Neurospora crassa OR74A: one gene and its partner. The protein of the gene in region 1 interacts with the protein of each later gene in a pairwise test. Links are inferred from orthologs where the notes say so. Each region holds a gene or a part of one and is shown on either strand. Other genes may lie near its edges.

What was found. The genes of interacting proteins can lie anywhere in the genome.
Region 2: the proteins of sad-1 (region 1) and sad-3 interact in a two-hybrid assay, tested with the Schizosaccharomyces pombe proteins (2 studies listed by BioGRID). The link is inferred for Neurospora crassa OR74A from reciprocal best matches to the Schizosaccharomyces pombe genes rdp1 and hrr1.

The regions. Positions count from the first base shown.
Region 1 is NC_026501.1:968,333-972,650, forward strand, and holds the start of sad-1 (RNA dependent RNA polymerase), read left to right. Parts: upstream 1-1,166; coding exon 1,167-4,308; intron 4,309-4,318.
Region 2 is NC_026501.1:5,853,862-5,858,433, forward strand, and holds the start of sad-3 (suppressor of ascus dominance-3 protein), read right to left. Parts: upstream 2,997-4,572; coding exon 2,958-2,996; intron 2,902-2,957; coding exon 2,249-2,901; intron 2,186-2,248; coding exon 1,283-2,185; intron 1,203-1,282; coding exon 1-1,202. UniProt on the Schizosaccharomyces pombe protein: Has a role in the RNA interference (RNAi) pathway which is important for heterochromatin formation and accurate chromosome segregation.

The DNA of each region.
Region 1 (4,318 bases):
CTCCGTGGAGAGGAGATGTGGGTTGTTTACATTTATCAATTGATCTGATGTCCGGCGTCGTCAAAGAAAGTTCCATCTTCCAGACGAGGAGCTTGCAACGAAACGAACCGTGGGTACAGTGGGTTCGGATGATAAGCGGGCAGCGGTGACCTCGACGGGAGGCCCTCTCTTATCACATATTTCAGATTGGAGGAAGGAACGACGGCAGGGAGAAGGCACGAAGCAATGTTTCACAATTGCTTGAATTGTCCATACCCAGGTGGCTGCCTAGAGATACTTAGAGGTAGCTTAGGAACATTGGGGCTCTTGCCTCAACATGGACAGCATCTTGGAGTTGACAAATTGATTGTCTAGGTACCTCTGGTACACCCCGGATCCATCATCTCCACGGCATCTGTCAATCAACTATCTCCCGAGAGCAAATATCATCAGTGGCAGTCTCACATTTTTTTTTACTTTACACATTGGAAGAGTAGTTGGAAAAGCAGCTCAGTTAGCTTCAGCTGTGAGTTGACAATATTCTCCTTGCTCAATCCCAGCTCACGGCCTTCTCTACATCTACGGTTTCTGTCGTCGCTTCCTGCCCTGTCCACCACCTCTGTCTCAAGACTGCCTTTTCGATGTTCTTTCGTCCCAGTACACATAAGACACCTTGTAACGGAAGCTGAGCAGCTCAGTTGTCTCTGCGACGGAATTGTCATCTGATACTTGTTTTTACCACAAGTATCCTCCTCCGCCCGGCGTTCGAGACTCCGAGGCCATCAAATCTTCCGTCCCAAGACGAGACTTCTCCAGTCATCCGTTACCCCGGCCGGCAACCACCCCAGCATTGTGCTCTCCCGCAAAGTTTAGAGAGGCGCATATGCCTTACCCTACGGTAGAGGTATTTAACGAGTGCTCTTCTCGTCCATGAGCATGGATTCTTTCCGCATTCACATTCACCGCCTTCCTCGCCAGCTACAAGACTAAACATCATCAAACATACGAACCACGGAGTAACAGAAGAGGTGTAGTCAGTAACTGCTTACACAACCCCTCAACTGTCACCTGCACCTTATCAAGCACCTGTCTCGTAATTCTCTTCCCCATTACCCTTCATACCAGTGAATCTGAGTCTATCCTAAGGAATAACTGAAGGCTGACTGTAGCCAAGACAGACATCCACCATGTCAGGAATACCCAACTGGGTAGAGCAGGCGCAGCATGCCATTCTTGTGTCGCCGGACAGAAGCCCCAAAGATCAGGACGCTCGTCCGAGGCATCCTAGCCGCCGCAGATCCAGCCAGCAGGGACATCGAGAGAACACACCGACACCTCGACCACCCTCGCGACCAACCTCGCGACCCTCCTCCAGCTCTCCCAAGCCTCCCCCTCGCGCTTTTCGGCAGTTCTCACGGGGCAAACCAGCCTCATTCGCATCCCTCCCCTCTCTGACACAACCAGTCTTCATTTCCAGGGAGTGGAAGTGCGCCAGGACCGCTGCCATTCGCGTCAAGGATGTGCCGCCTAGAGCTAAACTCCAGGACCTTCACGATCTCTTCTCTGAGTATGGTCATATTAGCTACATTGAACTTGATGAGGACCGTCAAGATGTTTCTGATCGTGGCCGGAGAGCTCTGATTCGCTTTGAGCCACCTCCGCTATCTACCGACTTTCTCTGCCGAGGCATCTGCAGACTCAGGATTGGACTTGTTGACCACTGGCTGCCTCTCGAGACAGTGGACCCAAAGCGCGAGGATCGCAAAGAACGTACCATCAAGACTCAGCTCGGCAACACTTGCCCGCAAACTCTATACGTCTTTCCCTCAACACTGTCTTTCGGTCTCTTAGTCCAGCCTGCGGTATTCATGAAGAAACAATCCGTTCAAACCCTCTCGTCCGACTCTTTCCTGAGACTTGAGTTCGATTTCAAGCGCATGCGACTGGTAATTAAATTCTCCCTCCACTACCAACGCGAACTTAGTGGGTTTCGCAGACAAAATGAGCATTACAAGCTCCACATTAAGTTTGGAGTCATCAAAGAGTTATGCAGAACCATGGTCGGCGAGGAGCATCGTCAAGCTTTGGTCATAACTCTCCGGGACCCGCCGGTTGCGTACAGGAAGAGGGATGTCTCAAAGACATTTGGCGAGGATCGGCTGACTTGGAGCGAGAATGACCTCTGGGAGAGAGTGGTCGACATTAGCCCTGGACTCGATGTCAGCAAAAACCCAGTTTCGCTCGCCGAGAACCACCAATATATTGACCTGGGACGGTGGCTTACCTATTGGATTGAACTGGATCAACAATCAACAAGAGTCTGGGATCAAGTTCAACAATATTTGCTCGATTGGAATCTCAGGACTAAGTTGACTGTTTTCCCCGAGCCGCTTCCCAACCAAAAACCAAAGGTATGGGATTTTCTGGATGATAGATACGGCCATGACATTCAACAAGTCTCCTCACGGTCCTGGAGCAACGACTTTTCTCTTTTAGCCGCGCCGCCCCGTATTTCTCTACCGTTTGATGTTCGGTATCAGCTTGAAGTCTGCATATCGCAAGGAATCATCAACGAGCACAACATTGACCGGCCGTTCCTTGAGAAGCTGATGGAATTTTGTGATAATGACAACAGCTTCGGCAAAGATCGGGCTCGCCTCATCCTCGAATACGTCGCCGATGAGTATGCTGGAAAGCGTATCTTCGACCCGATGGAACTCTTCAAGGATCATGCAGCCTTAGCTTATTTCCCAACTAGTTTCATGATACCCAACCATTGCGCTTGGGTTCGTAGGGTCACCATCACCCCTACTCGTATCTACTTCAGTACCCCCTGCGTCGAACCCACGAACCGCGTCATCCGCCAGTGGAAACATGCACAAGACTACTTTATCCGCATTCAATTCACCGATGAAGTTCTTGAAGGACGTATCAAGAGCGGCGAAGCGGAACTTCCCCTATTCTTGCGTGTGTACAGGGTATTGGAGAAAGGGGTTGCCATGGGTCCGTGGCATTGGAAGTTCCTTGCATTTGGCAACTCTCAGATTCGAGAAGCCGGAGCCTTCATGTTCTGTGAACAGAGCAATTTGACAGGCGATATGATGCGAGCCTGGATGGGCCGCTTCAGTCACATCAAGGTCATTGCCAAGTATGCGGCTAGACTTGGGCAGTGTTTCTCAACTACCCGTTTGGTGCCTGGCATCCCGGCACCGAGGATCGTCACCATCCCTGATGTCGAAAAGGACGGATTTTGCTTCACGGATGGAGTAGGCAAGATTTCCCCTTTGCTTGCAAAGATCGTAGCGCATGACTGGAGCATTGACCCGCCGCCGTCAGCTTACCAGTTCCGCATGGGAGGTTGCAAGGGAGTCTTGGTAACTTGGCCTGATGTGAAGGGTATGGAGGTTCATATTCGGAAGTCGCAGGAAAAGTTCGTTGCCGAATTCAATGGCCTTGAGGTTGTCAGATGCTCGCAGTTCTCAACCGCCACTCTCAACCGGCAAATCATTGCCGTTCTCTCGTCTCTTGGTGTTCCCGATCAAGTCTTTGTAGACATGATGGAGCAGCAGCTTTCTGACTTCAATGCGGCGATGGAGGACAAACAAAAGGCGACGGCGATTCTGAAAACGTTCATTGATGAAAATCATATGACACCTATCATTGCGGAGATGCTTGCCTACGGCTTTATGGGGTCTCAGGAGCCTTTTGTTCGCACCCTACTTCAGCTGTGGCGATCATGGTCGATCAAAACGTTGAAGGAGAAAGCGCGACTCAATGTCGAAAAGAGTGCGTTCGTGCTCGGCTGTGTTGATGAGACTGGCACTCTGAAAGGGCACATGAAGGTCATTGAAGACTGGAAAGACGTGTCCAGTGAGAAGCTTCCACAGATCTTCCTACAGATTCCCGATGATGTCAATGGCGGGTACAGGGTTATTACTGGAACCTGCGTCGTTGGCAGAAACCCGTCTCTCCATCCTGGTGATATCCGTGTGGTGGAGGCAGTTGATGTCCCTGCTTTGCGGCATCTAAGAGACGTGGTGGTGTTCCCCTTGACTGGGGACAGAGACGTGCCCAGCATGTGCTCTGGTGGAGACCTCGATGGTGATGACTTCTTTGTTATTTGGGATCCTTTGCTTATCCCGAAAGAACGCTCCCATCCCCCAATGATCAGTGAGCCCATTGCGGGCAAGGAGTTGGCAACCGAACCGACCGTAAACAACCTGATTACCTTCTTTGTGTTGTATATGAAGTACAACAATCTGCCGTTGATCGCTCATGCTCATCTGGCGACAGCAGATGCGGAGGTGGAAGGAGTGAAGAGCCCGAAATGTAAGTGAAC
Region 2 (4,572 bases), about 4.9 Mb from region 1:
TATTGTCAGCCCAGTCCTCTAGCTCCTTGATCCAGATTTCATTTCCATGATTCTGGCAAACCAGAGGAAGCCCAAGTTCTCGGTTGACCATGCCCTGATCAGCGAATCTATTGAAAATAAGGCCCCATAGAAACGATGATTCGGTTTTAGCCTCGAGTAAGTTATTGACGTTGCCGAATATGTAGAACCCTTGCCGAGCGCGACTGATAGCAACCACAGCTCGGTGTGGGTTGTCAAGAAAACCGATGTTGCGCCCATAGACTGGGTCAGGGCTACGCACCAGGGACAAGAGAACAATATCATTTTCTTCACCCTGGTACGAGTCCACTGTGAAAACGTTGAAGTAACAGCCAGTGAGCGATGGATGCCCTTTTAGTCTTCTCAAGAGAAGACTTCGTTGGCCCCTGTAGTATGTCAAGATGGTTATCTTCTCACTAGACACACCATTAGACACAAGATACACAAAGAAGAGGGTGATCATTTCAGCCTCTTGGTCGTTGAGTTTGCTGTTGTCAGAAGTCGTTCGCTCAATCCATTCGTGATCGAAAAACCAGCAATTACGCCCACCCATCCCAGGGACATCCGGACGTGCTTGCGGAGATTGGACACTGGGGTGGTCGAGTAGGTTATTATAGAATGGAGAGACTATGCGTCTCAGCTCCGGCCTCATGCGGCGCTGTTGATTGAGCATGATGTGATTCATTTTCAGGTTGATGAGCCTTTCAAACAGAGAGACGTTCAAGTTGTACGGATGTTGACCGAGCCATCGAATGTCGCATCGAGGCGACATCTGTGCATGGTCACCAACCAGAACGAGCTGTTGAAGGGAAGGGTACAGAGCCGAGGTAATGTTTCCTTCCCTTGTTTCGGCAGCTTCTTCGATAAGCAGGGTATTGGGCTGTAGCCCGGCCAGAAACGCGCGGTATTTTGTAAGGCCGGTTGTTGTGCAGCCGATGACCGCAATATCTTGTGAGAAGGCCATGTCAATATCTTGCCGGGCTTTGAGTGCTCTGCGCCGCTTGCATATCTCAACGTATTTGGCCAGCAGCCCAGCCAGCGTCGGAGTGGTTGCTTGCACCAGTTTGGACTGGAGATGCTGGTAAACTGCACCCCTCCAGTCTTGGGGTATATCAAAGAGGTTATCATTCTCTCTGAGCAAGCGTTGTGCACGATGATTCCAGCTTTTGAAGTGTCCAGGCTCTCTGACCCACGATACATGGTCAGTTTTCTAAAACGTAGATACGACTGGACCATAAAAACATCGGGTAATCGTCAAACTTACTTTCCGGTCCATATATGCATCAATTTGATTTCCTTGCCGTTTATCCTGTCTGCGTCTTCTTCATCGTACGCGATGTTCTCTACGTCGCGCTCATAATCGAAGTCCTCGTCAGCTTCCAATGTTTCGGATATGAGAGGCTGCCTGTCGCGAACGATCCGAGCCGGGATTCGTGAGTCTCCCAACCATAAGGAAAAGGGACCAAGCTTCTCCAACTCCGGGCTTGTCTCCATTTCATCATCGTACAAAGACTCCAGCTGCGCTTCGGTAATGATGCCATGTGCATGAAGCTGGCGTGGGTCGATGAGACTGTCCCCAAACACACTGTCAACCAGTGCCTCTACTCTGTCGATGTTGGTATGACGGTCATCCTCCAGTTCCCTGAACCGCTTTCCACCCCCACCACGGGAGCATTTGCGGCGCATCTCATACAAGCTGTAAGGCCTCATGTCTTCTCTCTCACTTCTTGAGCCAAGACGCAGAATCTTTGCGTTCGCCTCAAGACAATGGCCAAGCAGCTGGTCCAAGGCATGATTTGTCTGCGCAGCGACAATGAGGGGCGGGTTGTGTCCTGGACACTTGCGGCGACTCGCAAGCATGACTTTGATTGCCTCCACCGAGGTAAAAGTTTTCCCCGTTCCTGGAGGGCCTTGGATGATGGCAAGCTCCTTGGAGACCATTCGATGAAGAGCGGATAGTTGCGAGGCGTCGAGAAAGCTGATACTTTCCACATCTTTTGGGAGGAGTCCAGAGAGCACATTGAACTCGCGCAGGGATTTGAGCTTCTCAAGGTCTGCAAGGGGTTGGCGCACAACAGAAGAGAAGTCCATAATAGGGCTTTGGTATATGAAGCTTGGTGTCTCATTTCCCCTGTGACTGCCGGTGATGTATTTGTCGATAGGAGTACTAAGTTAAACATGATTAGCCTGCGTGATACATTCAAGCTTTGATTTCGATTGCGATACATACTCTGCCTGCGCAGCCAGTTGCAGGCCGACCAAAGAATGACGCGAGGATTCAAAATAGCCGTGTTGGGCCTCAATCATAACAAGTTCAAGATCACAATCGAAGACGGCATCTTCTGGGTTGCCCCACATGAGGTCGACGAGTGGAGGGGTTTGATCAAGTCCAAGCAAGTACGGCCTTTGGGCAACCACGGCGACCTTGCAGATGGTCTTGAACTTGTCGGCTTTGGTGGTGAGGGCAAGAAGACTGCCGGGTTTTAGGCGACCGGACTTCAGCCATTTGATGGCTCTCTGCGGCATGAACTCAACACGCGCAAGAGGTCCTAATGTTGTCATGATGTACGACTTGATGCGAACCTGGGTATAAACGAACATGTGCTGATCGTCATCCTGGCGCAGTCCGTGGTTGTTGTTGTAGATGTAGTTGTTGACAGCGAATCGCAAACCTTCAGTGCCCTCGCGACGAAGGATCTCGTACTGAGCCTTCAAGTAGTCCTCTTTGGATTTCCAGGGCTGCCTTACATCATTCTCAGGCAGACCTTCGGCCTCTTTCTGGAGTAGAAGGATTTCCTTGGCCGTGGGAATTTCGGGTTTCGACTTCCATCCGTCTCCATCTTCAAGCTTGACAAAAATATTGCTACGGACGATCTCGTCTCTCTGTGGAGACCTGTGTCAGCAATACGGTTGACAAAGAAAGGATGGGAGTTTAGTACCGTAGCGCTCAGTTGAATCCACTCGTCGCGGTTGGCCATGTTGAGTGCGTGATGCGGAAGTGATCGGATCAGGCCAGACCAAAGCGGGCACCGCTGAGAGGATGAGGAAATGGAGATCGAGACAGAGAGACCCGTCCAACGTTGAAGACGATTGAGTAATTGTGGCAGACAATGCCCAAATACCAGTGGACTTAAAAGGAGCTGGACGCCAAATGTAAGATTGGAGGAAAGAGGAGGGAGGGGAACGAGGAAGCAGAAATGCTTCAACTCAAGATTGTCGGGCGAAAAACGGATGTACTAATATCCGACAAGCGGCCTTGAATTTGAACGGGGTAGAAATGTCAACGCCAACGACGGCAGCGTGAAATAGAGAGGCTGTAAGAATTGGAAAGCTACTTCGAATTTCATTGACACTGCGACCGTGGAAGGAAGGAGTGGGTTGGGTAGAGGATAGTAATTTCCACATACTTAACGGTAATGAACACACCGTTTGCATTCGAATTGGAAAGAACGAATGCCGGCCGAGGTTTTCAGTCATCTAACAATTTGTCTCATCAGCCGGGGAAAGCAAACACGAGGTGATAGAAGGCTGACATTGAGCATAGGAAGAAGACGAAAAGGCAAGTTTTCCTTCCTGGCCCTCTGATTGTTTTAGTATTCTTGCCCCAGTTTGTTCGTCGACTTTTGGTTTTCAAGCGTTTGGATCTATCAAACTGTAAAGTCGTGATGTTTCCTTCACGCAATAGCGATGGAAGAAGATCCGACATGATGTATTGTCTCATCCTGCACAAGAAGGCTTCACGTCCGGCCTCTTTGTTTGACAATCATATGGCCTTGTTTTTGTGAAACACTAAGGCGAACAAACCACAGGAGCAACTCTATCGACATCTATTAGCATTTTCTATCTCGGCATGGTTAGCTCAAGGTGAGCACGACAATGCAAGAAACGAACAACCGAATTCCAAGATCATCGGTTCATGAACAATGTATTGGGTTGAAATCCGTTACATTTGTTCTCTAAGATGCTCACGCCGTCAGCAAGACGTTCTCTTCCAGCAGCTGACATGATGATGTTGACGCGTGTTGGTGCGAACGATATTCCGGGGCCGCTCGGTGTGCTACCAGCCACGTTCTCACCGGCGATTCATATGTCAGGCCTTGTTCGAGTCAGTCTAGTGCGGACATAGCCCAAACTTCAGGAAATCACCAATGTTTGGAGCTGAGTTTGGACGGGACTAAACTTGGACGTCGGAACACCGGGATGAGTACTTTTGTATACGGATATGCTTTGGTATCAGTGGGATGATTCTTCATCCGAGCCGACCCTCAAGTATCTTTCCACAAGACCTCTTAGAGGTGGTTGTATTCGCAGGTCCACGAAGCAGGAGCATAGGTGCACTCTCTTGAACAGAATGCAACGACGTAGTCTCACAGCCTCGGTCGCCCTATTGTAGACCTTTGAAAGACGGACATTGATAGGGGCACATGATTTGGTTCGTTCCATGCTTGCCAATACTCGTCAGGATACCACAACACCAACTCACCTCGTACAAAAAGCCCCCTTATGACGTCAGGGGCGCTTCTGCGTAACGGAGAAGCCAGCCAACCCCTTGAC